Caenorhabditis elegans: one gene and its partners. The protein of the gene in region 2 purifies or fractionates together with the protein of the main gene of each other region. This does not show direct contact. Each region holds a gene or a part of one and is shown on either strand. Other genes may lie near its edges. The genes, in order: C24H10.2, C05D11.13, ctf-18 and egc-2.

Region 1 (4,170 bases), on a different chromosome or scaffold from region 2:
CTCCTGTGGATGCATAGTAAACCTATTCAATAAAATTTTAGAAATATATTTATTTACTGTCAAAGAATGTCAATTACTCAGTGTTTACAATTTTGAAAAATCGAAAGTTATTCGAAGTATCATGATATTTAATCGTTTAGGATCATCATGACTGTATTTAGACAAAGTCCCCATTGTCGTCACTCCACCTTTAAGATATGAATAAAACGGTACCAAGTGAAGAACCTTCCATTCAGAGCAAATGGAAAAAGGCAAAGCGACGCCGTAAATAAATTTTTTGTATATTCCAATGAATCCTGAAATATGTATTAACAAATTTTATAGCTCAGTCGGTAGTGGTGGACTAAGAGGCCACGAGCTTTATCACCTAGGCACACAGTTTAATTATAAAGTTTAGCAATTCACGACTGAATGATCGCATCACCATACTGTCACCTAGCTGTACCTGTATCCCAGATTCGCAGCACCTAGCGTTTGAGGAACGGATTCTCCTTCAATCCATGTAACTTTTTCATGATGCATGCTATCCTAAAATCCTTTTTTTACATTTCACTTTATTTTGTCCAATTAAAATGCTCTATAGAAATTAGTGTCGAGAAGTATAAATTTACAACAATCGATGTTTTGCTCACTTCTCTTAGTCATGTTCAGTAATTACAAACGGAGGGACCTGTTTCACGCGGAAATCTGGAATTGGTTCACACTCGAAATTGTTGGCTTACTTTTAAAAATAAACGGGATATACAATGCGTTGCAAGGAAAATCGGAAAAACAATGGGAAAGGTTACAAAATTGAAAGAGAAGGGATTTGAGTTTGAATATACAGCATTTTGGGATCAAGTTTTGAAGCAAGGGGAAAGTCGGATTCCAGAATAAAATTGTACTATAAGTTTTGAAAGTCGTTATCAGAGCCCAGATCCAGATCCAGATCCAGGTCCAGAATTCAGAGCAAGTTTTTGGAGAGACTCCCGTAGAAGTGCTCGCTGCTTCTCCGCATTGTAATAGAAACCTTTCTGTTCGAATTTTTTGATCATTTTGCTCTCGAGTTTCTTACGATCATTATCTTGTCCCATCTTCACATCTTCTTCATCCTCATTGTTACAAGTACAGTGATGACGACACTCATGCTCATACTCTTCTTCATCTTCAAAATGATCATCCTCATCATCCGAACAGTCCAATCCGAAAAGATTTCTCTTCTCAGCTCGTTGGTGCTCCATGAAGAGGTCAAGATTGTGGAAATACTTGATGGCTTGGAAAACACCGTCATAGTGAACAACGAGACGTTCAATGTCCTCAATTTCCGGCTCAAAGCATGGACACATTCGGTAGCTCTTTTTCTCCTTGTCTCCAGGTGCCGGTGGCCTTGGGTACAACGCACTGCAACGCACATCGATCCGTCGAAGGTTTTGAAGGAAATTTTTCGCGTCGTTGGGTGGGATGATTTTTGGAGTCATTTGGTGCTGAAATTAATTTTATTATATTTTTTATATATCTTAATTTCAAAAAATCACTTACACATTTGCGAACAAGTTGGTCAAGCGAGGCTCTTGCTTCTTCAATGCGCGCATAGTCTTGTGGCAACAATGGAATGCGCAGAAAAATTGAATCCGGTGATGGAGAAAACGGCGAAATGTAAGAATCGATTTCCCGATGATGCTTTTCAATTTGTTTCTGGAAAATGAATTAAAAATTATTATGTATATATGAATTCCTGAAAATTTGTACCATATTAATTGTAATTTTCACTTCCATTTTTGAATTTTTCGATCCATTTCCTGAGTCAATGTCGTCAGTATCAAAAATCATCGAAGCTTGGTTTCTGTCTTTTTCAACACGAGCCTGGTTAGAGTTAAACCGTCGGAAGTTGCTGACTTTTTCAATATTTTTGTTCTGAAATTGAGAATTGTTTGCAAATAATAGGTCATGAAAACGAAAAATAGTTTCATTATTTGAAAATATTTTTCAATTCTAGAAATGTCAATTGCAAAAAATGCTAGACTTGAGCTAGATATTTGCAAATTTAGGGTAAAGTTGGGATTAACCTATTGGATGACCAACAAATGAGCACTGAAAACAATTAAAAGTTGGCTTAATTTGGTTAAATGTTGCGGCGAAGTTTCTAAATTTTTCTGAACATATTAAACAGTCATTTAAAATTTTGAAATGTTTCTAATCAAATCTAATTGATAAATTTGGATTTCTGAGGCAATTTCGACTGATTCTACCCCACCTCCAAAACTATATTCTTTCCATTCTTCCAGCACGAAAATGAGCCATTTTTCTTAGTCGGCTTTTTGCTATCTGGCAGCTGCTGAACAGCCGGAAAAGGGAAATGCTATTTGAAATTTAGTTAGTGGGTTTCACGAAAAAGCGTTTTTTTCTCAAGAACACAAACCTCTTTCATGTTAATTTGCACAGTCACGGCGTCATCAAACAGCTTTGATCCTCCGGTCTGAAAAATAATTGAATCTCATTATTAATTCAAAAGGCGTAAGTACTAACTAACCATTTTTATTTTTTGTGAAATTTCCGGCACCCTTTGGCTTCCATTCATGGCTCAAGCTGGAGATGTCAATGTCTGAAAATGAAAATGTTTATCAAAGCGAAATTCAAAAATTCAACAATGATAGCAACACAAAACTGTATTTTCAATCAAGCTGGCACCGCCCAAAAAAAGTTTCAAAGAAAAACGAGACAGATAAGAGATGTCGTGGTTTTTTGAAAATAAAGAATTGGTTTTTTTTTCAATAGAGATGAATTAGCTTTGAATATATAAACGTTCTGGGTTGGATGAAGAAAAAAAAACGAATACATCCCCTTATCAATAATAGAACCAAAAATATATATGAAAAGTACACCCAATGTGCAAAAAGTGAAAAAGCACTAAGAAAAACTGAACGTTCAAAAGATTTTGGTGATACACAGAACGGCACTCAATTGCGCGCGCGCGCTCGTCCTTTCCTTTGCCTCCATGAGTGTTTGTGAGTGGTGTGAGCGCAGATGGTTGTGAGTGTGAATGTGCGCTGTGGAACTCTCTACTCGCTCCGCTCCGCTCCGTACGTTTCTGAGCGCGTCCCTATGTCAAGAAGAACGAAAAGAGAGCAGAGCAGCGGTGAGCATGAGTCGTCTCTGTCTTCGAAACGTCCCTGGGCCGCGGCCAACAAAATTGCCCGGGCCAATCGGTTAGTGAGGCTTACGAAATGAGAGACGTTTTTCATTATCGATTCACTGATGTTTCCCGATACGACGGGCCAGGGTCTGTTTCAATGATAAAAATATGTTATCAATTAACACGGTGGGGAAAATGAAAGATCAAAAGCAAAAGTTAATTTGGAATCAATACATGCAAGGATGGTGGTCTGAAATCAAAGAATAACCATAATAAACAGTAATGGACAAATAAAGACTAAGTATTTTGCAATTTATGAAAGTACCTAAAACTATCGGAATGATAGAATAGTTTGGAATATTCTTCTGAAATTTTTGAAGATTTTAACCATTTTTGAACATCAGTTATAATTTAGAATGTTAAAAAACTTCACCTCAAATTGATTCCAAATGTAGTTCATGTTTTTGTGATTGCAAATCAAATGCCCGTATAGTAACAATCTGTATCAGATTACAAATTTTCTGATATTTAAAATTTAAAACCATTAAAAAATTTATATTATTACTAAATAAATCAAAACTATGTAAATTTTATTAGGATTTTTGAATGTTCTTCTTAATTTTGATGCTACTCGTTTTTAGACTTCCCCTACAAAAATTAAAAATTTCAAAAATTTGAAGCAAAAACGCAGAAAAAATTTTGGAATTAATAATGTCTTGAGATACAGATCGCTTGAGATTCGAGCTTCAGTTTTGAGTAAGAAGTTTCAATTTATTGAAGCGTTTTTTTTGATAGAAAATTACAAGTTTCGTTATTCAATTCTTCAAATTTGAAAACCCTTATCACTTAAAACAAATATATTTATTTTACGAGAATATTCAGCAAATTTTAATGAGGCTTTTACAGTTTTTGTATTGAATAATATTTTCTATGCTGAACTTTGCTATTGGCTCCGTCTACGTATATTAGAATATTAGCTACTTTTGTCGGTTTTTTGGCTATGGCTCAAATAAGATCATTCCAGTATTTTGGTCCTTTGTTTGAGTGGACCGTTATTT
Region 2 (3,655 bases):
AAGCCCGAGATAACTGAGTGAAAGGCGGAAAATGGCAAGATATTATGATGAAGATCACTTTCTGATCAGAAACAACGAGTGAACCATGGACGGTGCCGTTTTGGGAATGAAAATGGGGAGAGAAAAGCAAATTGCAACTTTGAGCGGGCAAAATTTTTACAAATTCAAATATTCGCGCCATGCGTATTTTACAACTGATCCCACGCGAAAGTGCACACACAAACCTGGGAGCTGGCTCCGGCAAATAATCCAGTTGCTGCTCTTCTGCTCACTATCCTTGCAAACATTTTGTGCCTGAAAATATTAAAATAACAAATAAAATTCTAGAACTTCAGAATAAATGTGTTAAAACAGAAATCGACTATCGATCAGACCACTGATCGTTATCAGTCTTATCAGTTTCTCTGTTTTGTTGCAAACAAGAGATGAAACTTGCCGTTTTTATTGCGATTCAACAGAATTTAAAGACTGATAGGTGGAAATGAGCGGACCGTTGATTCAAAAAATTAATACGATTTTATCGGTTTTAAAAGCAAAAGGTCAAACAACAAACTACTTATTTATTAAAAAAATTTTCAATTAATTTTTATAGACCCGAAAGAGTTCCATCGCTCAATGATCCCGTGATGACTGCAAGTGATTCTTCACTTTGCCCTGCTTGCTTCAAAATTCGATTTTGACGTTTTCGTGCAGCATCTTGGATTTTCCTAGCTGATTTTTGCTCTGAAGTCTCCGTCTGCAAATATTGCCGTCTTCTTGCTGCATCACGCTGTCGCCGATTTTCAGCTTCCTCTGGTGTTTCATTCTTAATAGCATCCCGACGTCTCTGAGCATTCTTGGCTCTACGCAATTCAGCTTCTTCTGGAGTTTCAGCCAGGAGACTCTTCCTTCTCCGTTCCGCATCCTTATTCCTTCTTTCCTGAGCTTTTTCGAATGACTCCCTTTGCAGATACTGGCGTCGATGCTCTGCAGCCTTTATTCTTCGATTATTTGCCTGATCTTCCGACTCTTGCATTCTTTCCATTTTTTTTCTTTCAGCTTGCCTTTTCAATCGTTCTCTATATTCTTCTTCTGTCTCTTCTGAGCATCTCTTCCTTTTATAGTCTGCAGCCTTGGCAAGACGTGTGTGAGTCTCCTCTGATGTTTCACGAGCTCTTCTCAGACGTTTCCGATGTGCTTCTTTGGAGAGTCTGCATTCTCTAGATCCTTCTTGAGGTTCGGATGAACTTGGAATATCCGTAATATGAGGTCTGAAACTTAAAAAAAATTTTAATATGCTATTTACTACTCTTACTCATCACTTGAACCAGGTAAAAATGTTGCTATAAAATTCTGAATTGTTTCTTCTAGGCCAGCATTTTGTGGACTTTCAGATTTATTCCCATTACTCTTCTCATCTTCTTCTTCGTCTTCGACAATATTTTTGCAATCTTTTCTACTCATTCTGAACTTACAAATATACATTAATTTTTCAGAAAACTTGAAAATCTACATTACTAAATACACAGACAGAGGTTTTGCGACTCCTGCGCCAAGAATACGGTGCCGATTCTCGACACGACATGTTTTAGTTAAATGAGAAAAACTTGTGCGCCTTCAAGGAGTACTGTAATTTTTTAATCTAGTTGGTGTGGAACCGTTCATGATTTTTCATACTTTTCTTACGTTCTGTTAAAATTCGTGTTTTTTTTTGAGTTTTCAATAGTTAAGGATGTTTTTCATCGGAATACGATGGAAAATCGATGAACATTCCGCAACTACAAAAGTTTGTAATTAAAGTACTCTCCAAAGGTGTGCACCGTTTTGAAATTATCACATTAAAAAAAATATCATGTCGAGACTGGGTACCGTTTTTGGCGCAAAAATCTCAAAATTACGCGTCGGAGTAATAAGAAAAATATAAATAAGGCTCAAAGAAAACAGGAGAATCGATGACGGCTTTCTGTGTGTCTGTGTGTCTTCATATCTTCATTGTCGGTGTTTCTGTGTGTATGTCTGTCCAGAGACAAACATACACGAGCGCAGACGTCTTGTTTGATTATCTGCGTCTCTTCTTCTATACAACACTTTGCAATCTTTTCAGAAAAGGATACTGTAGTGGGATGAATGTATATATGTACCACAATTATGGCAATATTGAAGCTTTTCCGTTCAAGTACACACTAATCAGAAATCTATTCATTTGGTTTGGATAAAAATGTAATGGCATTACAAAAGATGGGGAACACGAAAATGAGAGAAAATTGAGAGAAACCGTTGAAGAACAGAAATACATAATCTACGAGTCGATAGTGGCGAATAAATAAGTACAAAAATTATACACAAACATAAACGAGAAGCTAAAGGATTCACATTCCCTCGTATTTTGGGCCACCACCTCCTTCTGGTGTAACCCAGTTAATGTTTTGTTGAGGATCCTTGATGTCGCATGTCTTGCAGTGAATGCAATTTTGAGCATTGATTTGGAGACGCTTCTTTGATTCATCAGCTTCGGATGGGACGAATTCATAGACTCCTGGAAAAAAAAGTTATTTATGTGTTTTTAAAAGTCAAATTTGTATTAAAATCTCACCAGCTGGACAGAATCTAGCCTCCGGGCCACCATATACTGCCAAATTCACATCAAGTGGAACTTGATCATTTTTCAATGTCAAATGAGCAGGTTGATCTTCTGTATGGTTGGTTCCAGTAAGAGATACAGATGTAAGAAGATCAAAAGTTAGCTTTCCATCTGGTTTTGGGTAATCGATTTCTTTTGCATCCTTCACTGGAATGAGCTTCTCATTATCCTTCTTTCCGTGTCCAAGAGTCCATGGTTCAATTCCTCGACCGAAAACATAGAATATTCCAGAATAGATCAGTCCTCCAATGTATCCCAATGAAGTATTGAATGATGGACGAATATTTCTGGTTGCTTTGAGCTCTTTAACAACATAAGTATCACGAATATTCTTGTCATATGTAGCTGGATCAATCGTTTGCACATCCTCTCCCTTTTGTTGAATATCCTCGAAAATTGATTCAGCAGCCACCATTCCACTTTTCATTGCATTATGAGTTCCCTTCAGTTTAGCGACATTCAAGAAACCAGCTGAGCATCCAACAAGACATCCTCCGGGGAAATGAAGCTTCGGGATACTTTGGAATCCTCCTTCATTGAGAGCTCGTGCTCCGTACCCAATTCGTTTTCCTCCTTCCAATTGTTTAGAAATCGATGGATGAGTTTTGTATTTTTGGAATTCTTTGTATGGATTGAGATTTGGATTCGCGTAATCAAGAGCAACAACGAAACCAACGGAAACAAGTGGTTGTCCTTGATCCTCGATATGGTACAAGAAGGATCCTCCGTATTGATCAACATTCTGAAAAATCATTTTTTAGAGATTAAATTCTAGAATATATCTTTTAATCTGAAACACTCAAAAAAAAAGCTCACATTTTACTAGATTTTTCAATTTTTCTTAATTTTTTAGATCTTCAGAAACTTACCAATGGCCATCCCATAGTATGCTCAACATAACCAGGTCTATGCTTTGCTGGATCAATTTCCCAAAGTTCTTTGAGTCCAATTCCATAAGTCATTGCATGTGTTCTCAAATCAAATTTATCGAGAACTTGCTTGCTCAAATGTCCTCTACATCCTTCAGCGAAAATT
Region 3 (6,203 bases), on a different chromosome or scaffold from region 2:
TGAATATTTTTCATGAAAGGCGCTGAAGTTAATTGAGTATTCCATATTTGTAGAACTCCTCGAATTTGAAGAACATTTTTGAATAAAGTGATCAATTGTTCACTTTTCATTTCAGAATTTTGATCGATACGAAATCTTCCAATAATTTGAGAGCATTCAGTTGGAAATAAGCTCTCTTTTGTGATATAATGAACATTAAATGAACAATTGTCTGAATCAACTTCCGATAAATAAAAGAGCCACATAAATATATGAAAAAACATTCTCAAAATATTTTTGTTTGAGAATAAAGTTTGTGGAAGTAGGAATCGGTGAAGATATTTAATTGCATATTTCAATTGAGTTGCCATGAAAACAAGTGACATTTTCGATGAAGCTGAAATGCTATTATAGCATTCTTAATTTTGAAATGTGAATTCTATGAACTATTAAGAGATCATGTTTTTGTTCATATCAATTTCGAACCCCGCATTATTTTCTGCAGAAAATTAACAATGTTTTAGTCTGAACTTAAAAGGAATGTATTGTTCATTGGGGTGATAAAATCGGAAAATGAGCAAAAGATCATAGGAACGTGTATACAGCGCTGAAACAACTGAAAAAAGTAGTATACAGCAAAAATAGTGTCATTTTACAAACAAATACTTTGAAATTAAGGTTAAGAATCACCAAAAAGTATAGAGTTGAGTTGTTGCATGGTGACTTTCTTTTTGACAGCACTACTGTCTCCATCCTGATGATTAAATACTATATCTGTTAGTCTTCCATTGTGTAATCTTTTCATTGCTCCGGCAGATAGTCTCTTCTTCTTTTTGCTTTCTGATTCAACGATTGCTTTGATTTTATCGGCATTCGTAGAAATTCGTTCAGTATTCGAGGTACTCTCTGTCAGACGAACACGCATAAGAGTGATCTGAAAATTTTTAAGAATTAAATTAAATTCTGAAAATAAAATTTGCCATGGCCTGGGCAGAACACGGAGCTTTTTTTTTGCTCAAATAGACTGAGACTTCCCAAACAATTTTATGGTGTTTCAGAATTTCGAATTTCGAATTTGTTAAAATCTGAGATTTTCCCAAGCTTGTCGTAGCAGCTGAAATACAGTTTTTATTAAAGGGTGAAAATTTGATTTAAAAACTGTATTCCAGTTGTTGCGACAATTTTCGAAAATGCAGAACGCCACAAAAATGTTGAAATTTTTTTTGAGAAATCTCATTTTCAAAATCGAGTGTCTCGGGCCGGTTTTAATCTATTTGATGAGAAAACCTACAAACTCTACTCCTTATTTTAAGAAAGCACAAAGTGTGAATTCAAAACTTTCAGGCAATGAAAGAAAATTAATTTAAAACAATAAATACAAACCTTATGAGCAATCATTTGTCTTGTCGCATTGGCAAGATACGGCCGCTTTGGTCCATCCAGTGGAAACATTGTCAAAATATCAATTGAAGGAGTAAATAACCAATTAACTTGATCTTTTACCATTGTGGCAGTGTATGTCAAACCATAATCACACATAATCGAGACAGTTTGATTGAAAGTCGCAAGTTCCCGTTGATTATACAATGACTCATTCATCTGAAAATTTAAAAATTAAAAAAAAAGAGAACAACCAGCGATTGTTACCGGTTTGATAGGTGGCTGAACAATATTGACAATGAATGGCAAAATATCCAGCAAAAGCTCTTTTTTTGGTGCACCTCTAGTCGATTGTCCACATGATCGAACTGCGCTGATTGTTTCTTCCGATTCCTTCGTTTTTTGGAAAATATTTTGTTCCAACTGTGGATAGGCGATCGGAACACGAGCATGAGTCGCAATGTTGAGATGGAGGGAAACGAAGAATGAAAAAACATACTTTAGAACCGACCAGTTTTGAAGACTGTGTACCTGAAAACAAGAATTTATAATAGTTGTTTAATACTAATAGTAATTAAAACTCACGATTTTCTGAATATCATCATAGAACAAAAACCATGTAGACGCTTTGCGTATTACTCCAATTGGAAGAGTTACAAGATAATTTGCATGTAAACCAGACACAAATCGTTCTTCTCCTCCATGGTCTGCCGATATTCGTTCGATATCAAATATTCTTTCTCGTACAGATTTGATTCCTCCCTTTGCGTCTGTATGTTTAGATAACTCAAGAATTGACGACCAATGTTCGAAAATAGAAGCAGATCCGCCTTTCTCTTTCTCAATAACCTAAAAAACAGATTTCTATTAATATCAAAAAATATACAGCGTCATACCTCATGGATCAACTTCATTCCAATTGCTCGATTCGATTTTCGTGCTGCCACCGCTACCCATTGAAGAGTATTAATTGAATGTCTCATATCATTTGCACACAATTCGCATAACTTTCTCAAAGTACTCAAATCACATCGAAGACGTTCTCGGTCACAAATTTCTTCCAGTCGTTTTGCTAAAACATCTTGTTTTGTTGCGACTAGTTGCACACACCAGGCGACTCCTCGTAAATCACGCAATGCTGGCGTATACCTTTAAAAACAAATAATTAGAAAATCAAACACATCTTACGAATACATTGAGTTATCCCGATAAAGGGGGTTTGTGTTCCGATTTTTACCAAAATCTGAAACCAAGAATTTTAGTTTTTGATTTCTTTCGATTTTTCGAAAAATATCTTGAAAGTTTGATCATTTTTATTCTATTTTATTTTTATTCATGTTTTCTTGTGTTTTTATCAACAAAAACAGAATTTGATTTCAAAAAAAAAAAATAATTTTATGGTTCACTGATTTTTTTTCTTCGAAAAATTGTCGTTTTTCGATTTTTAGATTTTCAGTGAAAAAAATCGTCAAAATTTTCGCTGACATCTTTGTTCCCGATTAGGACTGTCGTTTTTAGTTGGTGTTTCTTGCAAAAATGGATTTTTGGACTAAAAAACAAAAGATTATCTTTCAAAAATGTAGGTATGATGGAAAAATCAAAAGTGTTTTTTTTTTCGGTTTTTTGGAGAAAATTGGTTTTTGGTTGAAAATGTTTTTGCAACTGTTCCCGATATCCTATTATATATTTTCTTTCTGTGTCACTGAAGCCATAAAATAACTTACAAATTATTGCAAATTCCAATAATGGGTCGCCGAATGGCTTTTTTGCCTGTTGCTTGAATACACCGAACCAAATGACGAATAGTATCAATTGGTGTTCCATCAATTTCATCAAGAATCAGGCATGCTGGCCGTTGATCTGCATCAAGTGTTCGAGATGTTTTTACAGCTCCTTCTAGTACTTTATTTAAATCTGCGACTGTTCGAGCATCACTTGCATTTACATCAATTGTTGAATAGCCTGCTTGACGAGCGACAATTCGTGCTAGTGTACTTTTACCGAGACCAGCCGGGCCAGAAAGAAGCAACATTTTCGATGATGGACGCCGAATTTTGCCATTATCCATGTGTAGTACTTCTCGTTCTTTTTCACCGAGGCTTGCTAGTAAATCGTCGACTTTTTGATGGAACACACACTCGTCCCACATTTTCAGCCATGTAAGAATATTTCGATTGACAGTCTGCAATATCGTGACTTCTTTTTTTAAAATAATGTAATTCCTTACACTGTCCGAGAGCAAATCTGAGAAATTTTTGGCTTCGTACTTGTTCACCCATAATGATGATTCTGGATGAGATTTATTATTTTCATATTCAGACGGTGTTTCAGTTTCTTTAAGCATGCGTGAAAACTCGGCTTCCTGTTCTTTAACGCGAGATTCTTCTTTCAACTTGCTGAAAACTATAAAAGTATTCAATTTTCTAGTGAAACTATTACCTAAGACGTTCGGATTCCTGACAAATCGACTGAAAAGCTCGAAAACCGACCCTCGAACGGGTTGCTTGTTGGGTAATCGATTCTACTAACGGAACAGAAAGACGATCATCACGGAAAGTTCGAATATAAAATCGTTGCCCGTTGACGACATCACTGATACCAATCCAAGGTGAACCATCAGTTACCGGATTTCGCATGATTTCCTGAATTCAATGATAAAAATATAATCTTTCAAGGAAAAGTAATAACCTGTCGTCTTCTATATCTCCGTTCCATTTCTAGCTCACAAAGTGAAGAAATTGTCTGCTCTCCGCTTTGAAAATCGTCAAAAGCATTAGAATGATGATTTTCATTCATTTTTCTTTCAGCTTGAGCAGCTGCTTCGTTGATTTTCTGTTCCAAGCTTTCGAGGGCTCTTCTCTTAACAGCATTTACTTGTGACTTTTGTAATACTTCACTGGAAACTGTTTCCATTCTCATATGCCAATCTAAATATATAATTTAATTGGAAAACCTTCTTTTTGACTGACCCATTGGATGTGAACGTCTTCCATATTGATCAAATACGTCTTCTACTTCATTCAAGCGTCTTTTTCTTTTACCATATCCAACTTCTTCGAGAGCATTCCTAACTTCATTGATTCTTTGATTTTCAGAGTCTCCATTCGGAACTACAGCTAGCTGATCCTCATCATCTCTTAAAATTCAGCGAATGTAAAACTACTTCTGCTTCTCAACATAAAGATCTTACGGATATTCAAGTTGCCCATCATCGTCGGCAAACCCAGAATGCAGTACATTGTAGTCATCATCCATGTCTTGCTGTATCCATTAGAAATGTTAGAAACACAATCTCACAACAATAAGTACAATACACTGTTACTTGACACACTACATATAAAAAAAACAAATTGAGAAACTTGAATAATTTAGATACAAAACTTTATTTTAATTCCAACGTGCCAAAATGGGGGTAAGAACTTGAGTACAAAGAGTACTCCCGAACACCAATGAAGGAAACAATAACGGGGGCTTGTAAAAGGAGAAGGAAAGTGGTAATATATTAAAACAACATTCAAATACAACTTGGATATTCGGTGGTGGGATGATGTCTGATTGCAACTTGTACTCGAAAAGAGTAAACTCAGATGGGATCACGGTCGTCAATCACCGAAAACCGGGGAGATAGGATGTGAAAATGGGATGCGGGCTGATTGGATTGGATTGTTGAGAGATCTACTAAAACGCTACACGCCATAAAATTCAGATACCAGAATCTTCTTACTTAAATCATCATTATTAGAACGGTGAGGAAGGAAAGGAGAAACAATAAATAGGAAAATGAGAAGGATAGGTACAGAATCTAATGGATGTGCAATTCTTACAAGAAGGAAAAAGGAGAACGGAAAGCTTCTAATTTTGTCCCGCATTTTGGAAACCGCTGCGCATACCACCTCGTGGAGCACCACCCGAACCGCCACGGCGGAAGAATTGTCCACCGCGTGGTTGGAAACCTCCACGTCCTCCTCGGAATCCGCCGCCTTGTGGTTGATCACGTTGCTCACTAATTTGAGCATGTCCGTCAAATCCGAATGCATCCAGTTTGAGTGGAAGCTTCCACACGCCTTGCTCATCCTTTGTAGCCGCTTCGAAAATGGCTTTTACTCCGGCCTTGTTACGCATGGTAATAAATGCAAAGGCATGTTTCGATGTGTCGTTCGGACTGTCAAGAACCTTGCGCGGCATGCGAACCTCCTCGATTTCTCCATATTCTTAAAATGAAAATTTAGTGAACTATTGGGACTATTAATTTGCTTACTGTAGAACACCTGCTTGATTTCCGATTCAGCCTGAGCTGTGTTGCTGGGGACAATCTCTCGAGTGATTCCTCCCAAATAGATCTTACGCTCATTTAGGTTGGCATCTGAACTTTCCTGAGCTTGGCGCAATTCATTAGCTGGGTGCGACTGTCTCTGTTGCTGATAAAGAGGAGCATGCGATCCTTGTTGTTGCTGATGCATGGAAGGCTGCATGTGGTGCATTTGTGTTTGCTGATGGATTTCTGAAAAATAAATAATCTGAGACTAGCCCGATCATCTTTCGTTTTTTCAACTCACGCTGTCCTTGTCCATAACTTTGTTGTTGTGGGGGCTGAGACTTTCCACCTCCACCCACAAGATTAGCCCACGTTTTCTGAACCTTTGGCTGTTCTTGAACAGGCTCAGGAACTGGGGCTCTCTGCTGTGGGGGCTGTTGGGCAAGCTGTGGTTTCTGCGGTGTTTTCGCTACCTCCTTTTCCACAGATTTCGGAGTGTCTTGCTTCACTATACGATCTTCAGCTTTCTTTGGCGTTTGCTGCTTTGGAGGAGCCGGCTTTGATTGTTCCTTAGGTTGCTCGGTTTTGG
Region 4 (3,927 bases), on a different chromosome or scaffold from region 2:
GACACAGAAAGGATATGGAGTAGAAGTTAGTTTGAAGTAAGTATCATTTACTATATATAAAGCGCTTATTCTGTGTGTCCATAGTTTGTAGTCTATGTAGCCTTTGTAGTCTGTGAAGTTTTGGCTTCTGGAGGGATAGTGAGTTAGGGTTAGTGTAGGGATATAGTTGGGGTACTGTAGTGGTACAATAGTGGTACGGTAGGAATACTGTAGGGTTACGGTAGTTTCATAAAAAATTAATTTTCAGCCCCAGAAGTCGGGGGCCGCGCCGAAGGTGCGGTCCACGGCTGGTTTTTTATATGCGAAGAAGTTTTTTCATGTTTACAATATTTCCAGAGATAAAGTCATGTCTCTTGAATCAATCCGCAAAAAATTGGGAATGACTACTAGTACGACGCCGCCTCCGCCAAGAACTCCATCTCCGGACGCTCCACTCGCCCAATCTCCGCCAATTCCACGATCGCCTCCGAGTTCTACTGAAAATGCGTAGATTTCCTTTGAATGAAGTATACTGTAGAAAATGTTCAAGTTTGAGTGTGTATAATTATGAAACGAGAGTAACATGAAACACTTTTATGAAATGAGGTTGAAGACTCAAATCAAAAATACAAGTTTTCAAATTTAGGACAGAAACAATTCCAGAACGTAAAAAACAATACCTAGAAGTCAATAAATGGAACAACAATGAAAAACAGTAAAAATACGCTGCAAATTGGGCAGAGTTCCCAATAGTAATTATTAAACATTTTCCTTGATAGCATCATAATTATCAGAAATTATGAATTTTGTGAAGCGACCGGCACGAACTGGGCAGCGATGACACGGACGTTGGGCGGAAGAACTCGTGGGAAATTGATGATAGTCGTCTCCTCGAAGTGGAATTCTCCATCGCGCATCACAGTTCTGCGTGTCTCGATTGACAAAGTCTCCGTAGAAATTTCTGTAATAATGAACATTATACAATTATAGAATTTTGATAATCTCACGTTTGGCTCCTTCTCTGCTCTGTAGAGTGTTGATTGGAGCAACTGGTGGCACTTCTTTCATCAATTTTTCAGCTGGCCCTTTTCCAGTGATAGTCATCACGTATGGCGACGGAGCTACCGGCTCGACATTGCTGAGCTTCAAAGCATTGTCCAACTGCTCTGAGAATTTGTCAATTTCGGGCGACATCATTGGTGCTGTGAAACCACTTCTCACGCTGCCAACACTTCTTGGGGTGAGACTGTTGATGCTGTAGCCGTACCCTCCATAATAAGACTCACGGGCCTTTTGATTGTCCAACTTGCTTTGATACAGTCCACCTGAAAACATAAAAATTGTTACGTTTTCCTAGTATTCAAACAATAACCTCCATGCAAAGCCTTCATATTAGAAGAGTATCTTGATGCGTCTTCTTGGAGTAAATCTTTCGTCTCAAATGGTTCCACTTCGATATCTTTTCCATCTCCGTGTTCATCCGTTTCTCCAACCTTCTTCGGGCACATTCTCGAAATGTGTCCATGCTCTTGACAATGGAAGCAGTGGCCTGGCCCACCTCGCCCACGTCTACCGGTTCGGCGGCCAGAGCGTGGTCTCTTCGATGAAGATCCCATACCATCGGATCGGGGCGAACTTCGGAAAGATCCACGCCGTGGACTACCCATTATATTCTCAGATGGCAGAGGTGTCACGCAACGTTCATTATTCATGTAAAGAGCATCCGAAACAGCAACACGAGATGATCTGCTTTCTCGATAACTGCTGTACCCTCCTCGTACGGAACCAAATCCAGAACTGTCGTTTAGGTGAGAGGAGTTTCTGGGGATTCTACCGCCAAGTCCACTAACGGATCCAAAATCAGAGAAGCCTTCACCTCCTCCAAATCCTCCTCGATACTTTCTCGGTTGATCAGTTAGCGCTCCGAATGCTCCACTATTTTGAGTTTTTGGCCATGGAGAGTATTGAGCTCTCTCAAGATAATGTTGTCTGTCCTGAAATGAATAGTTTACAAATTGTCATTAATTTGATAAAAAATACCGTTCTCGCCGACATTCCGTTTTCCATTGACTTCATTTCACTCGACAATTCCGACATATCCGACCGAAATGTCTAAAAAAATTATTTTGAGAAACTGGCAGAACGCTGAATATTTAAAAATTAATCTAAAAACCATTAATTCATCAGAAATGGGTGAGAGAAATGAAGAAAATTGAAGAAACGTGCCGAACGAGTTCAGAATTTCGTGTCGGGACCAAAACCTACAGTAACCAAGTCAGTATTTAAAAACGCGTTATTAAGAGGCACTACAAAACGGGGATCTGCGGAAAAATGTTATTCCAATTTCTCTTTCAAGCGAATCCGATAATTTAAATATTATTCGTATTTATTCATTAAATTAAAAGAGAAGGCGTATAAAACACAATTGGCAGCTTGCCGAACAGCGGAGCTGATTACTGTGTTGGAAAAAACAGAAAAATTTAATTAATTGACATACTAATGATAAAAGGGAAGAGTGTGGACAAAGTTGAAATGTGGAAATTCGAAACTTGCCTAAAATTAATTTAGGAGCCTCTATAAGAGGAAAAATAATTGAGTAAAATGATAGTGAATTATCAGAGATCTCATTGGATGTTGCATTGAGATAGATGTTGTATTTTATATGATAAAAAACGAAATGTACATCAAAAGAAAAAAATGCAAGACGTTGTTAATCAAGATCGATGACTTCTTGAACCTGCTGCGGATCATGGTTGAAATTTTTGCTTAGATACATATCACGAAGCTGACGGGCATCTATAAATTTTAAAAAATTATACGAAATTTTTTCTAGTAAACTAACGATTCTCAAAAACACTTCCGACAGCGTCAAGAATTGTTCCATCACGTAGTTTCACATAATATCCATTTTTCGGAACAACTAACTGTATTGGTGTATTTGCCTGAACCTGATGAAGCTGATCTCTATGTCCGACAATGGGAAAAACGAGTTCTAAAAATTTGAATTTTCAAAAAAACTTAAACGTCAAACTCACGTCTATCAGTAATCAATTGTTGAACTGCTCCAGCCGGGGAAAATGATGGTATTTTGCTCATAACAGCTCCCGGAAAAGCTGATGGATCTCTTGGAGGAAGCATTTGTTGAGGGTTTCCTATAGCTCCTCCATTGTTATTATTCGGATAGCCATTGTTGAATGACGTCATCGTATGACCACCTCCTTGGTGATGGAATTGACTGACATTCATTCGAAGCGTGTGAGGCATTGGTGATGGACGAATTGATGGAATTTGAGGTGATGGTCCATGAGGTGGAAATTGTGACATGTTTGGCATCGGTTGTGGAAATTGCTGTGGTGGATAAGATCCAAAATTGGGTGCAAGCTGATTAGGAGATTGTTGCCAATGATTATTGAAACTATTTTGCATGTTATTATTGAACATCGGAACTGGTGGTGGACCCATCATTCCCATTGAGCTTCCAGGAGCATTGTTATAAAAGTTAGAACTGCTCAGGCCACTCAATGGATCATAGTTCTCCATACGTCGTTCTCTATCAAAAAGTAATTGAGCTTCTCGTTTTTCCTGCTCGCTGAGTGATTGCTCTGACTCCATTATCAAGGTTTCATGAAGGAACGGTTTCCCGGCAAACATTTGACTCATTCTCTTAGTGATTGAGTCTAGAACCGGATCTCCGAAATCCCAATCATCTGTATTCCATTTGTCATGATTAACATCTTGTGCCTCATCATACATTAGAAGAGTCTCCAATTCTTTTTGCGAAATATTTGCATCAACTTGTGCATCGTCAACTACTCTTTGTTGTAGTCCATGTTTTGAAATTTGTCGATTGAAAATCGATCGCTCCATTGAGTTATCCATAATAAGACGATAAACAAATGTTTTCTTCTGTTGACCATATCGATAGACACGACATACAGCTTGAGCATC

Evidence for each region.
Region 1: the proteins of C05D11.13 (region 2) and C24H10.2 fractionate together in Caenorhabditis elegans (co-fractionation; one large-scale study listed by BioGRID). This does not show direct contact.
Region 3: the proteins of C05D11.13 (region 2) and ctf-18 fractionate together in Caenorhabditis elegans (co-fractionation; one large-scale study listed by BioGRID). This does not show direct contact.
Region 4: the proteins of C05D11.13 (region 2) and egc-2 fractionate together in Caenorhabditis elegans (co-fractionation; one large-scale study listed by BioGRID). This does not show direct contact.

The regions. Positions count from the first base shown.
Region 1 is NC_003284.9:5,063,031-5,067,200, reverse strand, and holds C24H10.2 (uncharacterized protein), read right to left. Parts: upstream 2,600-4,170; 5' UTR 2,558-2,599; coding exon 2,510-2,557; intron 2,456-2,509; coding exon 2,399-2,455; intron 1,894-2,398; coding exon 1,729-1,893; intron 1,675-1,728; coding exon 1,519-1,674; intron 1,464-1,518; coding exon 906-1,463; 3' UTR 538-905; downstream 1-537.
Region 2 is NC_003281.10:6,442,529-6,446,183, forward strand, and holds C05D11.13 (Vicilin-like seed storage protein At2g18540), read right to left. Parts: upstream 2,059-3,655; 5' UTR 1,878-2,058; intron 1,445-1,877; 5' UTR 1,444-1,444; coding exon 1,295-1,443; intron 1,257-1,294; coding exon 587-1,256; 3' UTR 529-586; downstream 1-528. Other genes in the region: mel-32 (Serine hydroxymethyltransferase), read right to left, coding at 225-287; let-721 (Electron transfer flavoprotein-ubiquinone oxidoreductase, mitochondrial), read right to left, coding at 2,349-2,515, 2,573-3,362, 3,490-3,655.
Region 3 is NC_003282.8:10,122,025-10,128,227, forward strand, and holds ctf-18 (AAA+ ATPase domain-containing protein), read right to left. Parts: upstream 4,621-6,203; 5' UTR 4,615-4,620; coding exon 4,550-4,614; intron 4,496-4,549; coding exon 4,329-4,495; intron 4,287-4,328; coding exon 4,048-4,286; intron 4,002-4,047; coding exon 3,799-4,001; intron 3,756-3,798; coding exon 3,587-3,755; intron 3,542-3,586; coding exon 3,084-3,541; intron 2,509-3,083; coding exon 2,256-2,508; intron 2,209-2,255; coding exon 1,945-2,208; intron 1,891-1,944; coding exon 1,627-1,890; intron 1,579-1,626; coding exon 1,363-1,578; intron 914-1,362; coding exon 659-913; 3' UTR 513-658; downstream 1-512. Other genes in the region: irld-21 (Receptor L-domain domain-containing protein), read right to left, coding at 1-263; Ras GTPase-activating protein-binding protein gtbp-1, read right to left, coding at 5,212-5,570, 5,618-5,860, 5,916-6,203.
Region 4 is NC_003282.8:8,899,810-8,903,736, reverse strand, and holds egc-2 (CCHC-type domain-containing protein), read right to left. Parts: upstream 2,092-3,927; 5' UTR 2,077-2,091; coding exon 2,020-2,076; intron 1,974-2,019; coding exon 1,352-1,973; intron 1,305-1,351; coding exon 987-1,304; intron 941-986; coding exon 777-940; 3' UTR 560-776; downstream 1-559. Other genes in the region: Putative serine/threonine-protein phosphatase C27B7.6, read left to right, coding at 1-36, 337-490; rad-54.L2 (Helicase ARIP4), read right to left, coding at 2,690-2,775, 2,822-2,971, 3,015-3,927.